Canis lupus familiaris: one gene and its partner. Each later gene encodes a partner of the first gene's protein in a complex. Links are inferred from orthologs where the notes say so. Each region holds a gene or a part of one and is shown in the gene's direction. Other genes may lie near its edges. The genes, in order: MKI67 and NIFK.

The links.
Region 2: the proteins of MKI67 (region 1) and NIFK are in contact, whole or in part, in an NMR structure (PDB 2AFF), measured with the Homo sapiens proteins. The link is inferred for Canis lupus familiaris from reciprocal best matches to the Homo sapiens genes MKI67 and NIFK. Residues at the interface, in NP_002408.3 of Homo sapiens: Thr9, Ile10, Lys11, Arg12, Ser13, Pro18, His19, Phe20, Pro21, Ser23, Leu24, Arg31, Gly32, Ile33, Glu34, Cys35, Asp36, Ile37, Arg38, Ile39, Gln40, Leu41, Pro42, Val43, Val44, Ser45, Lys46, Thr66, Asn67, Ile91; in NP_115766.3 of Homo sapiens: Val228, Asp229, Ser230, Gln231, Gly232, Pro233, Thr234, Pro235, Val236, Cys237, Phe241, Leu242, Arg245, Gln248, Val249, Leu252, Asp256, Lys257, Asp259, Glu260, Ile261, Val262, Phe263, Lys264, Gln265, Pro266, Ile267.

Annotation. Positions count from the first base shown.
Region 1 is NC_049249.1:37,276,538-37,280,346, reverse strand, and holds part of MKI67 (proliferation marker protein Ki-67), read left to right. Parts: coding exon 1-3,809. UniProt on the Homo sapiens protein: Protein that associates with the surface of mitotic chromosomes and acts both as a chromosome repellent during early mitosis and chromosome attractant during late mitosis.
Region 2 is NC_049240.1:29,898,215-29,902,715, forward strand, and holds the start of NIFK (MKI67 FHA domain-interacting nucleolar phosphoprotein), read left to right. Parts: upstream 1-1,604; 5' UTR 1,605-1,674; coding exon 1,675-1,779; intron 1,780-2,212; coding exon 2,213-2,350; intron 2,351-4,501.

The DNA of each region.
Region 1 (3,809 bases):
AATCTCCACTAGTAGATCCAGTCAATACACCAACAATCAGAAAGAGGCAAATCAAGACCCCTCTCCAGAAAGTAGGCCTAGAGGAAGAGCCCTCAGCTTTCAGGAAGCACACCCAAACACCGAGGGAAAGCACACACTCACACAGAGAACCAGGAGATGGTGATGATGAAGACATCAAATTATTTAACCAAACTCCAAAACAGAAACTGGACTTTGCAGAAATTGTAACTGGAAGCAAGAGAAGGTCAAGAACACCTAAGAAAACTGCCCAGTCCTTAGAAGACCTGGTTGGCCTCAGAGAGCTCTTGCAAACACCAAACCAAACAGATAAACCAGTGGCTGATGACAAAACCACCAAAGTTCCCTGCAGATCTCCACTAGCAGATCCAGTCAATACACCAAGTAGGAGGCAGATCAAGACCTCTCTCCAGAAAGTAGGCTTAGAGGAAGAGCCCTCAGCTCTCAGGAAGCCCACCCAAATGCTGGGGGAAAGCACACACTCACATAAAGAACCAGGAGGTGATGATGAAGGCATCAAAAGGTTCAAGGATACCCCAAAGCAGAAACTGAACTCTGCAGAAAATGTAACAGGAAGCAAGAGGAAGAGGAGGTCAAGAACACCTAAGAAAAACATCCAGTCTTTAGAAGACCTGGCTGGCTTCAGAGAGCTCTTTAAAACACCAAACCAAACAGATAAACCAATGGCTGATGACAAAACCACCAAAGTACCCTGCAAATCTCCACTAGCAGATCCAGTCAATACACCAACAATCAGAAAGAGGCAGATCAAGACCCCTCTCCAGAAAGTAAGCCTAGAGGAAGAGCCCTCAGCTTTCAGGAAGCCCACCCAAACACCGAGGGAAAGCACACACTCACACGGAGAACCAGGAGGTGGTGATGAAGGCATCAAATTGTTTAACCAAACTCCAAAGCAGAAACTGGACTCTGCAGAAAATGTAACTGGAAGCAAGAAGAGGTCAAGAACACCTAAGAAAAGCATCCGGTCCTTAGAAGACCTGGCTGGCCTCGGAGAGCTCTTGCAAACACCAAACCAAACAGATAAAGCAATGGCTGATGGCAAAGCCACCAGCGTACCCTGCAAATCTCCACTAGCAGAACCAGTCAACACACCAAGTAGAAGAAGGCAGATCAATACCCCTCTCCAGAAAATAGACCCAGAAGAAGAGCCCTCAGCTCTCAGGAAGCCCACCCAAACGCTGGGGAAAAACACACACTCACATAAAGAACCAGGAGGTGATGATGAGTTCATCAAAAGGTTTAAGGATACCCCAAAACAGAAACTGTACTCTGCAGAAAATGTAACTAGAAGCAAGAGGAGGTCAAGAACACCTAAGAAAAACATCCAGTCCTTAGAAGACCTGGCTGGCATCAGAGAGCTCTTCCAAACCCCAGAGCACACCCAGGACCCAATGACTGATGGCAAAACCACCAACATACCCTGCAAATCTCCATTAGCTGAACCATTCAACACACCAACAAGTAGAAGGAGGCAGCTTGAGATCCCTCTCCAGAAATTGGACCTAGAAGAAGAGCCCTCAGCTTTCAGGAAGCCCACCCAAACACTGAGGGAAAGCACACACTCATACGGAGAACCAGGAGGTGATGATGAAGGCATCAAATTGTTTAACCAAACTCCAAAGCAGAAACTGGACTCTGCAGAAAATGTAACTGGAAGCAAGAAGAGGTCAAGAACACCTAAGAAAAGCATCCGGTCCTTAGAAGACCTGGCTGGCCTCGGAGAGCTCTTGCAAACACCAAACCAAACAGATAAAGCAATGACTGATGGCAAAGCCACCAGCGTACCCTGCAAATCTCCATTAGCAGAACCAGTCAACACACCAACAAGTAGAAGGAGGCAGCTCGAGATCCCTCTCCAGGAACTGGACCTAGAAGAAGAGCCCTCAGCTCTCAGGAAGTCCACCCAAACACCAAGGGAAAGTACACCCTCACACAGAAAACCAGGAGGTGATGATAAAGACAGCGAATTATTTAACCAAACTCCAAAACAGAAACTGAACTCTGCAGAGAATGTAACTGGAAGCAAGAAGAGGTCAAGAACACCTAAGAAAAACACCCAGTCCTTAGAAGACCTGGCTGGCCTCAGAGAGCTCTTCCAAACCCCAGAGCACAGCCAAGACCCAATGGCTGATGGCAAAACCACCCGTGAACCCTGCAGATCTCCAGTACCAGATTCAGTCACTCCAACAATCAGAAGGAGGCAGCTCGAGACCCCTGTCCAGGAGGTGGACCTAGAGGAAAAGCCCTCTTCTCTCAGGAAGCCCACCCAAATGCTGGGGGAAAGCACACACTCACGCAGAGAACTAGAAGGTGGTGATGATGACATTAAATTGTCTAAGGAAACTCCAAAGAAGCTAGACCCTGTAGAAAATGTAACTAGAAGCAAGGAAGGAAAGGCTCAATTCCTGGAAGACATGGTCGGTTTTAAAGAGCTCTTCCAAACTCCAGAGCTCAGCAAGGAACCAACAGCTATTGTCAAAGCCACAATAATGCCCTGCAAATCTCCACCAGCAGAAACAGGCAGCACACCAACCCACATGAAGAGATATCTCCAGATACCTCTGGGGGAGGAGGACTTAAAGAAAGAGCTCTCACCTGTCAGGAAGCCCATCCTAATGCCAGGGGAAGCCACACACACAGAGCAAGATCCAGGAGGTGATGATAAAGACATCAGATTGTTCAAGAAAACCCCAAAGCAAAAATTGAACCTTGCAGAAAATGCACCTGGAAGCAAGAAGCAGCCAGGAACACCCCAAAAAATGACCCATTCTCTAGAAGACCTGGTTGGTCTCAAAGAGCTCTTCCAAACCCCAGAGCACACCCAGGACCCAATGGCTGATGGCAAAACCACCAAAATGCCCTGCAAATCTCCAGTAACCGAACCAGTCAACAAGCCAACAGGTAGAAGGAGGCAACTCAACACCTTTCCCCAGAAAGTGGATGTAGAGGAAAAGCCATCAGCTCTCAGGAAGCCCACCCGAACGAGGCGGGGAGCCACACACACACACACACAACCAGGATGTGGTGACAAAGATACCAAATTGTCCAGGGCAATCCCAAAGCAGAAACTGGACTCTGCAGAAAATGTAACTGGAAGCAAGAGGCAGCCAAGAGCACCCAAGAAAAATGTCCAGTCCTTAGAAGACCTGGCTGGCCTCAGAGAGCTCCTCCAAACCCCAGAGCACACCCAGGACCCAATGGCTGATGGCAAAGCCACCAGTGTACCCTGCAAATCTCCAGTAGCAGAACCAGTCAACAAGCCAACAGGTAGAAGAAGGCAACTCAACACCTTTCCCCAGAAAGTAGATGTAGAGGAAGAGCCATCAGCTCTCAGGAAGCCCACCCGAACGCGGCGGGGAGCCACACACTCACACACACAACCAGGAGGTGGTGATGAAGATACCAAATTGTCCACGGCAATCCCAAAGCAGAAACTGGACTCTGCAGAAAATGTAACTGGAAGCAAGAGGCAACCAAGAGCACCCAAGAAAAACGTCCAGACCTTAGAAGACCTGGCTGGCCTCAGAGAGCTCTTCCAAACCCCAGAGCACACCCAGGACCCAATGGCTGATGGCAAAGCCACCAGTGTACCCTGCAAATCTCCAGTAGCAGAACCAGTCAACAAGCCAACAGGTAGGAGAAGGCGCCTCAAGACCTCTCCCGAGAAAGTAGACCCAGAGGAAGAGCCGTCAGCTCTCAGGAAGCCCACCCGAACGCGGCGGGGAGCCACACACTCACACACAGAACCAGGAGGTGGTGACGAAGACAAC
Region 2 (4,501 bases), on another chromosome or scaffold:
AGGTCCTGTCACCCTTCCTAAGGGGAATGGAAGGGATCGATCATAAATACCTCCAGTTTGGCAGGTCAAAGTTTACGTTGGGGTGGAGGGTGAAGTGCTAAGTCTTGGTTTACTGCCATGAGGCCTTAACATAAGTGACTGAATTTGGGGCCTGCAGTTTTCTTTCTCTTTTGAAGATTTTATTTACTTATTTATGAGAAATACAGAGAGAGGCAGAGACACAGGCAGAGGGAGAAGCAGGCTCCCTGCGGGGAGCCCGACGTGGGACTCGATCCCAAGACCCCAGGATCATGACCTGAGCCAAAGGCAGACGCTCAACCACCGAGCACCCGAGTGCCGCTGCAGTTTTCATTCTACCATCTGCCATTCACCCTCCACCCTAACTGGAGTACTATTATTACCAACCAAAGCAAGGCCACTTCTCGGTGAACCATAGACAGAAACTGTACGAGGTGGTTGCCTCCCAGGGCCACTTTACTTGTACAAACAAGGAGAGTGCAAGGAATGACTTCCAAAGCCTTGATTGCCTGAACAAGGAGAAGCAGGCCCCTTTTATTAGGCCTTGGCGTGAATATTCAGGGTGAGATTTTACCATTATTGTGAGGCTGAGGCACTTTCTGATTCATCTGTGCAGGCATTATCCTCAAATGTTTCTTTTCCTGTTACAGCAATTCCTTAGTTCATTTTCAAAAAGTAAGATTGACGGGCAGAAGTTCCTAGGAGTTTTCTTGAGTTCAGGGGGTTAGGCCAGGGACAGTATTTAAAAGTCATTAACAGCCAGGGCTTTGCTTAGAACCCTCACATCTGGGATCCCTGGGTGGCTCAGCAGTTAAGCGTCTGCCTCCGGCCCAGGCCGTGATCCTGGAGTCCCGGGATCGAGTCCCACGTCGGGCTCCCCGCATGGAGCCTGCTTCTCCCTCTGCCTGTGTCTGCGTCTCTCTCTCTGTGTCTCTCCTGAATAAATAAAATCTTTAAAAAAAAAAAAAAATCTTGAAATAGAACCGTCGCGTCTGCTTGTGTTTACAATAAAACCCAAGCTTTAAGCCTTCAGGTACGAGCCGTGGACCCCCCCACCCCCCGCCCCGCTGGTTCTCTCCGCGCAGCTCTGAGGACCCTGCGCGAGGGTCCCCCCTACCTGCACCCTGAGCTTCCGGGTGTTCCCACGCGGCGCCTGCGGCCTCCAGGCCTCTACTCCAGTACGTCCCATGCCGGGAGGCCCTCGCTGGTCACCAGCGTGCCTCTCCCGCACGGGGCTGTCTCCCTGCACGGGCGCCCCAGCAGCCTCCGGCACCTCCATCCCAGTCTCTCAGCCTCCTAACGACAGCAACGCCCTCGAGGACACAGCATGGGCTTTAAAGAGTGCCTGCGTGGAAGGAAGAAAATAAAAAATAATTAAAGAATGATCAGCAATACCTCAAGGGCGCGGATGTTGTTTGGGGCTTATACATTTTCGAGCCTCTCCTTGAAACTGGCCGAAGGTGGCAGGCCTGCGGGGGGCGCCACGCGGCGCCAGGCCAGCAGGGGGCGCCCGAGCCCGCCGCGCCCCGCCCCGCCCAGGCCCCGCCCCCGCGCCTGCCGCGCACGTCCGCCGCCTCCGCTTCCGCCTCGGAGGCGCCGAGGGCGGCGGGTTCCGGCGGCGCCGCGTGGAGCGCTCGGGCCGGGTGGCCGGTCGCCATGGCGGCGCTTGCCGGCCCTGCCAAGCCGTTCCTGTCGCTGAACCCGCAGGAGGAGGCCAAGTTTCGGAAGGAGGTGACGCAGGCCTGCCGGCGAGCGGCCCAGGTGAGCAGCCCCCGAGCTGGGAGGCCGCCGTGCCCCGGGAGCCGACCGCCGGCCGGGGGGTTCCGGAGCGGAGGCGGCCCGGCCCGGCCCGGCTGCGGGGTTGAGACCTCCGGAGGCGGGGTTGGCCGAGTTCCCCGGACTGACGGGGCCGTGGCGGCAAGTCGCACCTGCCTTGTCCTTGAGCATAAAGTACGCGCCTAGGAAAGTCCGGAGCGGCGGCCCTGGACGCTAGGGCCCGGGGGGCGGTGCGGGGGGCGGCGGGGGCGGCGGCCCGGCCCGCACAGAGCCCGCCCGCGGCACGCCGACGCCGACATCGGACTCCTGTGCACGCGGAGGTGCGGGCAGGATTTTGCACTGAGAAGTAGGGGTTTTGCACATCGTGTCGCAAGGTGACTTTTAAAAAGTTGCGTTTGTCTGGTCTGTGTGTCCCCAGCAAAAGGAGAAAGAAAAACTGACCCCCGGCGTGATCTACGTGGGCCACTTACCTCCAGCACTTTATGAAACCCAGATCCGGGCCTATTTCTCCCAGTTTGGCACTGTTACAAGATTCAGGCTGTCCAGAAGTAAAAGGGTAAGATCGAATTAGATTGTCTTATTTCTTACGAGTATGTAAGTGTTTACCATTTACGGAGGGTGGTCCTATATCATCGTTGAGCACAGCTTATTTCAGAAAGGGAGGTAGGGGGCAGCCCGGGGGCGCAGCGGTTTAGCGCCTGCCTTTGGCCCGGGGCGCGATCCTGGAGACCCGGGATCGAATCCCACGTCGGGCTCCCGGTGCATGGAGCCTGCTTCTCCCTCTGCCTGTGTCTCTGCCTCTCTCTCTCTCTCTCATGAATGAATAAATAAAACCTTTAAAAAAAAGGGGGAGTGGGACACGTAAGATTTATTTTTTTTTTTCACGTAAGATTTAGAACCTGAAAATGAAAAGAGCAAAATCCATATTACTGTTAATGTTTCTTTTCCTTTTAAAATTGCACCAAATTCTCAAATTAAATTGATAACCCTAATAAATGAATCATCCTTATTCTGTGGCTACTAAGCCGGGTGCACACAAGCTTCAGTTTGAAGGGCAGGTATGAACATCTTGTAGTATAGTGAGTTCTTAAGAATAAGGACATCGAAGCCAGACCACCTAGGTTTGAGCCCTGGCTGTACAGATCACTAATTGTGTGGTCCTGGACAAATTATGTAATTTTCCCATGTTTCAGTTTTCTTTTCTTTTTTTTTTTTTTTTTTTTTTATGTTTCAGTTTTCTATTCTGTAAAATATGAATAAAATACCATCCACCTCCTAGGTGAAAGGAATAAACAAAGGTAACAAATGCAGATTTCTTAGAACAAAACCTTAAACAGTAAACCTTTTCTAAATGTTATTGTTACACTGAACCTAACTCCTACTAAAGAAAAAGCTTGTAGGTTTGTTACTGAAGTAGAGGAGTGGCCACTTTATTCTCTTCCTTGCTCGCATCCTGTTTTGTAATCATAGACCTCTCACTCTTGGAAGCTTTTTTTTCTTTATGCTGTTTTTCCAAATTTTATCAAAGTTAATTCTTTTTTAATTTATTCATAGAGGTACACAGAGAGAGAGAGGCAGAGACACAGGCAGAAGGAGAAGCAGGCTCCATGCAGGGAGCCCAATGAGGGACTCGATCCGGGATCTCCAGGATCATGCCCCAGGCTGCAGGCAGCACTACACCGCTGCGCCCCTGGGGCTGCCCCTCAAAGTTAAATTTTGTATTTGATTTGGTATCTGAAGGGTAGGGTACACATCCATCATCTGTTAGTTGTCATAAAATCACAGATAATATGTTGTGATTTTAAGGGGCAGGTGGCTCAGTCAGGCGTCTGCCTTCAGCTAGGGTCATGATCCCAGAGTCCTGAGATTGGCCAGAGTCAGGCTCCCTGCTTAACAGGGAGCCTGCTTCTCCCTCTCTCTCTCTCTCCCCCTCCCCCTCACCCTCTGCTTGTGCTCTCACCCTCTCTCAAATAAATAATTAAAATCTTAAAAAATAATGATAATGAGTAACTTAAATTTAAAATGCCCTAGTATCTCTTATCCTAAGCAAAATAAGATTTTGTCTGTGTTCCTCCCCCTTGTTTTTACATTTGCCTATTTATAATGATTGCATAACATGTGGGTGAGGTATTTTAAACATAAGTACGCTGGAGTATTTAATGGCTATTCGGTAATCCACCATTTTTATAAAATGTCAACTTGATTTCATACTTGTTTCGTAAGTAGGATTGAAGTCACTTTTGTACCCTTCCCCAATCCTCTTTTTCCCCATGTCCAGAGAATTCATGAATCCAGTGATTTTTGTTACTGTTTTTTTTCTTACTTCACATTCATGAAAGAATATATATTGTATATTTAAGTCTATATTTTATCATTCTTTAACTCGATTTTTTTTTTTTTTTTTTTTTTTTTTAATTTATGATAGTCACACAGAGAGAGAGAGAGGCAGAGACACAGGCAGAGGGAGAAGCAGGCTCCATGCACCGGGAGCCCGACGTGGGATTCGATCCCGGGTGTCCAGGATCGCGCCCTGGGCCAAAGGCAGGCGCCAAACCACTGCGCCACCCAGGGATCCCTCGATTTTTTCATTAACAATATTCTGGACTGTGTTTGCATAATTCGAGTACATTTGTTATCGCTGTGTTCTTTTGCTTGAATATATATATTTTTTTTTTTTTTTTAAGATTTTATTTATTCATGAGAGACA